2 separate regions of the Mus musculus genome follow, and region 1 is reported to be linked to region 2. Evidence: microRNA targets listed by miRTarBase, many of them from high-throughput screens and not tested one by one. Region 2 holds a microRNA gene; the other region holds the end of a gene's coding sequence.
The links. The annotated mature microRNA mmu-miR-383-5p reads AGAUCAGAAGGUGACUGUGGCU and lies in region 2 at 2,130-2,151, opposite strand. An mRNA with a match to its seed (bases 2 to 7 or 8) in the 3' UTR can be bound and repressed. Matches are read on the target gene's strand: a 7mer-m8 pairs with bases 2 to 8, a 7mer-A1 pairs with bases 2 to 7 and ends in A, and an 8mer does both.

Region 1 (4,000 bases), not on the chromosome of region 2:
ATGCCAACACATGCACCCTTCCCACACTCTGAAGATTGTGAGAGAGGGAAGACGGGAGAGGGGAGAGCATGCTTGCAGATTCTTTGTGGGAGAGCTTCTTGAGGCTTGAGGCAGAGTATCCTGTAGCTGGCTTCAAACCAGCTCTAAGAGGACGGCCTTGAACTCTTGATCCTCTTACCTCCCTTTCCCAAGTTCTGGGATCACTGGCATGCATGACCACACCTAGCTGAAGGAGCAACTTTTCAGGGTCCATGAACTGTAGTCTTCCCACAACACACAGTGGAAAAGCCAAGGTCAACTGCTGAGAAGTTACTGTACTCTCCTCTTGAGTTAAGGTAAAGTTTTGCGGAGTGGGGTGCTGGAGATGGACCACAGTGTCTCCTGTATGCTAACCATGTGGTGTACCACTAAGCTATACCCAGTCTGAGACAGACTGCTTGTGCTAAGGAACTTAAGTCACTTTATCCTCTCAGTGACCCATCTTCCCAGCCCAGCTGTGTGATGGAGAAGCACACAGTACATGGTGTGTTTAAGCCAGGATTCTGTTGAATAGCCACAAGCTGGAAAAGTGGAATGCTATTTGTGTACAACCTGAGGAATGTCCCCCTACTCCCCACTCATTAGGTTTAAATTAGATACTTGTGGCTGCTTAGGCTTCCAAATATCAACAGTTAACTCCTCTCTCTCTCTCTCTCTCTCTCTCTCTCTCTCTCTCTCTCTCTCTCTCTCTCTCTCTCTCTCTCTCTCTCTTTCCCTCCTCTTTTTAGACATGGACTTACTATGTTGTCCAAGCTGTACTTGGTCTTCTGGGCTCAAGCAATCCTCCAGCTTCAGCTTCCCACATAGCTGACACTACAGGTACACGAACGGAGCCCTCCTTGATCAGGAGACATTTATCAAATTAGTTACCTGATAAGGAATTGGCTTACACAGCCCTCTCTGTGGCCTTACCAGCCACACAGACCCAGAATATTCGGTGTGTGTGTGTGTGTGTGTGTGTGTGTGTGTAAACCACACCCAACCTGAATACATTGAAACAGAAAAAAAATAAAAGAAAGAAACAAAAACTCACCACACACATATTATTTTTCTTGTCATTATTACAACAACACGGTGTAAGGACTGACATAGCATTTACATCATATTAGGCATTATAAGTACTCTAGAGACGATTTAAATATAGGAGAATATGCATCATTATATGCAAATACTACACCATTCTACACGAGGGACTTGAGCATCCTCAGATTTTAGTATGCTGGAAGGTGCGGGGTGTGCTGGAACCAGTTCTCCATGGATACTGAGGGAAAACTGTCTTCTGTCTTTCCCACATTCTTATGTTCTCATCTGAGTTTCTGCTCCACTTGTCCTGGGCTACTTGGGGTGGGAGATAGGTCTCAATAACACAGGAACTCAACAAAATAAAACAAAAGTGTCCTCTGGCTTGCCTCTAGCCTTGCCTTAGATTGTTTGGCACTGGAAAACTCCTTTCTGATACTCCTATATAAAATGGCCTAGATTGGTGGTCTTCATGCCAAGATCTATGGATATTCCCAGGGACCTGGAGACCCCTGGAGATCTGCACTAGAAAGGGAAGCTGAGCTAGCAGCACCCCTAAACTCACACCCCTCGGAGCAGGAGTTTTAGACACAGGAGCTTATTGAAAGAACAGTCCTTAGGGGACCCTTGGAGTTGGATCACCAAGCTCCCTCCTGTCTGATCTGCTTGATCTTCTGAAGCCCAGCTCAAACCCATCCCTCTCCACGAGATCTTCCCGGTCACCTATTGCTGGGCACCTGAGCTCGGCAGTAACCCTGACCCACTAATGCCTGCTTCCCAGCAGGAGGCCAGTTCTCCGTTCCATGTCTCTCTCCCTTACAACACCCTTTCCAATGCAGGTGTTCAGTAAACTTGCAGATGGTGCCTGGTGTCTTGAGCTGTGTCACATGAGTGCTTTGGGTGGAGAAAGCTAATGGCCCTGAAGCAGGCAGTTGGTCAGGAGGAGACAGGGAGCCATAGTGGCAGGATGAGTCAGGAGAGCACTCTGCCACTGATCAGTGACACCGTCAAGCAACCTTACTGGGAGGCCTAGTCTTCAGAAACTGAGGACCTGATACCTAGACTTCAGGGTCCTGGACAACTCCACAAGAGCAACTTTGTGTTCTTGTCTTAACTAGATTCTGTTCACATTCTTCTGTCCCTTCGTACCTCTTCTGGCAAAGCCTGTCTGTACTCCTCAGCCATGAAAGAGGCACATCCTTGAAGCCTAAGCTTCAGCTCGGCTGCCTGTGACCCGGTAGGCCCATGGCTAGTAGGCATCTCAGAGAGTTTCAGAGCGGGGAAACTCAAAGGAAATGAGGAACTCTCCGGTCTACTCAGACTACAACTCTTTCTGGAGGTGGAGGCCCCAAGGGGAGGGAGGGCTCACAAAGAGAGGCTCAAGCAAAGAGACTGGGTAACTGCCAGAAGCAAAGGACCAAGACAGCCAGGGGCCCAGGGCCCTGAAGCTCACACTCAGGAGGAGACAGGGAGCTATAGTGGCAGCATGAGTCAGGAGAGAATCCTGCTGCTACCCAGTGACATGACTTTGGGGGACAATCAATCAACCATTCTCAGTGTCTTGACCAACTGCAGGCCACTGTGGAGTAACTTTGCAAAGGTCCAAGAAGACTGGCAGGTGTGGCAATGGTAAGGGGTAACTACTGCTCACTTACAGGGGAACATTCTGGAGTCAGCGTCCTATGGGGGAATCTTGGAATTTAGGGATACTCCAAAGCCGACCTTCCTGTCTCCTGCTTCTCTCTTGTCATCCACCTCTGTCCTGCTTTTGGAGAGCTTCTAGTCACACTGGTGAGTGTGAGCAGAACAGGACAGTGCAGGACAGAGGCCCGTGTTCACTTCCAGCCCAGAGAAGCTTCCCAAGAACTGAAGTGTCCCGATTAAGAGCCAATGAGAAGGGATGAGATTCAATAGGCTGTGGAGGTTCTTAAGGGTTTTTCTAGTCAGTGAGATACTCCAACTGGATCCCAAAGATGGAGTACCTTAGCGTCACTGAACTTCTTGTCACCCGGGAGACAGCTGATCAGCCTCCCCAATACCTGGAACTGCACATCTGGCCTCCCTCCTTTCCAGAGTAGGGGTCCTTGTTGGCACTGTGGGGACAGATGAGTCCTTAGTTGGTCACAGGGAGAGCCTGGTATTACCTTGCAAGGCCCTCCCACTGAATCCTCCAGATGCAGGGGTAAGTAGCAAAGAGATCAAGGCTAGAACATCTGGCAGGGTTTAGAATCCATACTTGGAGGGTAAGACATCATGTCAATAGGGAGAAATACCTTCAGGCTCTAGGCTAGTGTGGCATCTGCCTTATCTTCACCAACAGGGTTGTGGACCCTGGTCTGGCCTTCCTTGGCCTCTCTCAGCTGCTGTAGCCAGAGGTGTAGGTGCTGGGCCTACGGAGCCAAACATCTGGGAGATCTGGCTGACTGTTGGGAAGCATCACAGGGCTGATATCGCCTGGCCCTCCACGGCCCTTCCAGGATAAGCTGCTGTGGTGAGAATTGGGCATGTTTGGGTCATAGATGGTCTCCTTCAGTGCTAGCCAGAGGGTGTCGCGCTTCCCATTCAGCTGGCCCCGCTCAAGTATGGGGTGTCCAGTGCCATTCATGACTTCTGGGGAGGTACCCACAGAATCTGGCACACGGACACTATGCTCAGAGGCACAGGTGTCATCTGAGACGCTGAGTCCCTCCAGGGTGCTGGCTGAGGAGCACAGGCCATCGGGGAGCTCTTCCACTTTGGACTTAGGGCAGTGGGCAGGGCCTTCTGGCAGTGCCTGCAGGGGCTCAGTTTTCTGTCCCTGGGAATCTTGCCTGATCCAGGTTTGGGGGGTGGGGCCAGCCTGCTTATATGGAGAGGAGGTCTGCAGGGCTGGACACTGGCTGAAGACTGTCTGGTGGTCTAGGAGCAGATCCCTTGGGGAGACAGGGGCTTGGGCATGCTG
Region 2 (4,000 bases):
CTCAAAAGGTAATGATTTAAAAACTTCAAAAGAATAAACTAGATGGTTGTGGCAATACATGCCTTTAACATCAGCACTCAGAATTCAGAAGCTTCTAGTTTGCTATAAGCTTGTAGGTTAGTCAGTCAGTTGCACCCAGTAAATTCTAGTAAAACCTAAGCAAGAGAGTGTGAACCTTTCTCAAAAAGTACTTTTAAAAATTAAGTAAAAATCATACAAATTGATGGATTTATCATTAATAAAATGTAAATTTTCAGAAAAATGTATGCATAGATTCTAACCAATGAGATGTGCCCGTTCATGAACCTCATGCATGATCCTAACACGCAACTTCAAGGATTGGTCCCATAATAGTAAGGATAAGTGGAAATCTCAGACAATAGAGTCTGCAACACAGAATTCCTTGTATGTGAATATATAAAAATGAAATGTAACCCAAATTGTCACAATAGAAAATAAATCTCAGCTTGAAGTTAGAAACGTTTGGGCTTTAGAGGAAACCCTTTCTTAGGACTTGGTAGAGAAATCAAATTGCAGGTTTTCTCCAATTTCTTGACTCTTCTTTTCTTCTTAGAATGAAGCTGGTTTCTGTACAAGATAATAGGTTGTAGTAAAGGAAAACCATTGATGACAGAGTTCTCTAAAATACACAAAAGATCAGGAAAGATTATCAGATCTATTTTTAATCCTTTTTCCTCTCTCATTAGATAATACAGTTTAGCAAACTAGATGTGTTGCCCTTAATCAAACACAATGTTTCTGCTCCCGAATCTTTCCTGATCAAACTTTTAAAAGAGACTATATATTAATAATTCTCTTGAATTTAAAAAGTGTATCTACAGAATAGTTCTCAGATTGCTACAAATTAATTTATCTAAATATTTGAAAGATAATCAGGATCATCAAACTAGTCATCATCAAACCAGAGAATCTTTTGTGGAGAAGAGACATTGCAGCAAGACTTAAAAATGATTTTTCCATTCTTGGCTTTCATGTTGATGAATTGTAAATAGCTGATACAAAATATCCAAAGTCATTTTCCATTAATGTACACCTACAAGAGAGTTTGACTTTCTAAATATTAACACAATCTTCAACTGTTACTTAAGGGGAGAAATGGTTTATCATGTTGGCTGAAAATCAAATGCAATCAAAATTAAAACTTCAACCAAAGTTGCTGTTAGGCCCATAGTCCTGTAGAAATACCTTGCCAACCATTGCCTGCAAACGTTCATGGTTTAGTTATGTTTCATCTCAGCTCAACATATTATTGACTTTTTTCTTCATACCAGATGCCTCTAGTCTTCCCTTCAAACATCTTGTCTTTTCATTTTTGTTCATATTTAATTTTTGGCAATCGCTGCCTGTTTAATTACACTAAGTTGGAGCAGGTCCAAATTTAGGAAAAAATTACAAAATACAAAATTTTCCTTTGGCTCACCTCCCACCTCTACTCCTTTACCAAGTAATTGCTTTTCTCTCCAGCAAAGACTTTCCTAGAGAGCTTCAGTATTATTCTCAGGTTTTCCTGAGCTTAAAAACCTGCTGAACTGATTGCTTCTGAGAATATTGATTAATACACATCTGGGCTTTCACTTTATCAACAGTAAGAACCACTGTTAGAACAGCGGGTTTGTGTTATTTGGCATGGCAACCATGCTTCCTACCATAACCCTGCTCTACTTCTGAAAGTGAAAAAAAAAATTGTCTTCCAGTACATTTTTTTGTCACCTTGAATGAAGACCATGCTCATGTTTAATGCAAATACATGAATAGCATGCATGCTAGATAATACATGAAACTTACAGTTTAATTTTCTTGTGGATTTCTAATTCCCAATCATAACCACAAGTTATTTTCCCTTTACAGCCTAAAATGTTAAAGAACAGAGAAGGAGTAACAAAGACACTCATAATCAAACCTTTGGTTTCTGTGAAAAAAGAGAAGCTTCCAGACATGGGTTGAACGTTCCATTCATCTCACCTGAGGCATGCTGGCCATTCCAGTCCAACACACGCAGTTCCCTTTGTACCTACGTTGGATGGACCCACAAGGTGTCATGAGGTAAAAGGCTAGGACACTTGCTCTTTCTGACCAGGCAGTGCTGTGGCTGATTAATATCCACCCAAAGCCACAGTCACCTTCTGATCTGAGGAGCAGGTGACGTGGAGTTTCTGGAGGCTCTTGATAAATTATGTAAGCATAACAAACAACACAGGTTACAAAAAAAAGTATCAGTCACTGAAGTGGTCGACGTCATTCTTTTAAAAGCTAAAGCTAAATGGCTCTTCATCCATCACAGGCAGTACTTATCTCAAGGACATTAAACAATTAATTATCACATGGGCAGTGCATAAAAGCTTATATTCTTTCCCAGAAAATTGTTTATGAAAGGAGAGAGGAAGGGACAAAAACATGAGCAAATTCCAATTACAGACAAAGTTTTCTCTTTTTTCCATTATTTTTCCAGTTATACCAAACTGATTCATTAATATGAACCAATAACTTTGTTGCAGTGCAAAAAAGGTTTAACCAAACCCCTCCTTCCTCCTTGACAGTACAAAGCACACCAACTTCCAAGCATTTCCATTTTAGGCTGAAGGTTGTCTGACCCACGGCCTTGTAGTTTGTTACCACAGATATTCTATATGATCTTTTTGACTTTATATTATCTACCTATATTTACAGAAGTGACTCTCACAGAATCATGAAAATGCAAGTGAATTACATTAATGTCACCTTGCTCTTTGTATATATCTTTTCCCCACCATTGCTCAAGTAATTAATGAAACCACAGATATTGTTCCTTCAACACATGAGTTTTAATAAACAGGTAATATTTATAAATTTATTTGAAAAATAGTTTCTCATAACACTCCATTTAAAATAAGAAAACTTCATGTAAATGCATATTACAGAATATAAGTTAACACATAGAAATTTGTTATTTTTATTTACTTAAGTCATCTATTTTTCACCCAGAATAGAAAGCATCAAAAATATAAAGATATGAATAATTATTTTGTACTACACAAAAATAGAAACTACACAATTTAAGGTACTTCTAATATAGATACATAAAATGCAGCACTTTATTTTTTTTTTTAAGACCAAGAAATTATTTTCCCTTATTCTTAAATATTCCTTCTGGATATGATCCTGTTAAATAGAAAATATCTTAAACATGTAAAAGTTTCTATGTTAGCAAAAGTTAAAAGACCAAGAAAGAATTGTTAGTTACTGTGATTCTTAGGGTATTATTATTATTATTATTATTATTATTATTATTATTTTGGGAATACTGGCAAAAATTTTGTTTGCTATATAATTTTTATTTGTTTTGTAATATTTTAAATTTTTTCTATACTAGTTTTCTTTCTGTAGCCCTGGTTACCCTGGAGCTGGATCTGTGGATCAGGCTTGCCTCAAAGTCACAGATATGGCCTCTTTCTAATATCCTGGGATTAAGGGTGTAGGCCAGCACCTGCGTAATACATGTTTAATTGAAATGGAAGATATCATGTAATCCATTATATAAACAAACTCAAAGACAAAAACCACATGATCATCTCGTTAGATGCAGAAAAAGCATTTGACAAGATCCAACACCCATTCATGATAAAAGTTTTGGAAAGATCAGGAATTCAAGGCCCATACCTAAACATGATAAAAGCAATCTACAGCAAACCAGTAGCCAACATCAAAGTAAATGGAGAGAAGCTGGAAGCAATCCCACTAAAATCAGGGACTAGACAAGGCTGCCCACTTTCTCCCTACCTTTTCAACATAGTACTTGAAGTATTAGCCAGAGCAATTCGACAACAAAAGGAGATCAAGGGGATACAAATTGGAAAAGAGGAAGTCAAAATATCACTTTTTGCAGATGATATGATAGTATATATAAGTGACCCTAAAAATTCTACCAGAGAACTCCTAAACCTGATAAACAGCTTCGGTGAAGTAGCTGGATATAAAATAAACTCAAACAAGTCAATGGCCT

Region 1: the mRNA of Disp2 is a reported target of mmu-miR-383-5p. Seed matches in the 3' UTR shown: 7mer-A1 at 3,080-3,086 and 7mer-A1 at 2,052-2,058.

Annotation. Positions count from the first base shown.
Region 1 is chr2:118,792,242-118,796,241 of GRCm38, reverse strand. It overlaps Disp2 (dispatched RND tramsporter family member 2), which reads right to left. Exons shown (of 8, transcript NM_170593.3): 8 at 1,067-4,000. The coding sequence ends at 3,416. Among named protein-coding and RNA genes, the nearest start is that of Gm38629, 4.5 kb to the left of the region's middle.
Region 2 is chr8:38,250,049-38,254,048 of GRCm38, forward strand. Mir383 (microRNA 383) reads right to left here and starts at 2,154; the gene lies at 2,085-2,154. All of the region lies in intron 1 of Sgcz (sarcoglycan zeta), which reads right to left.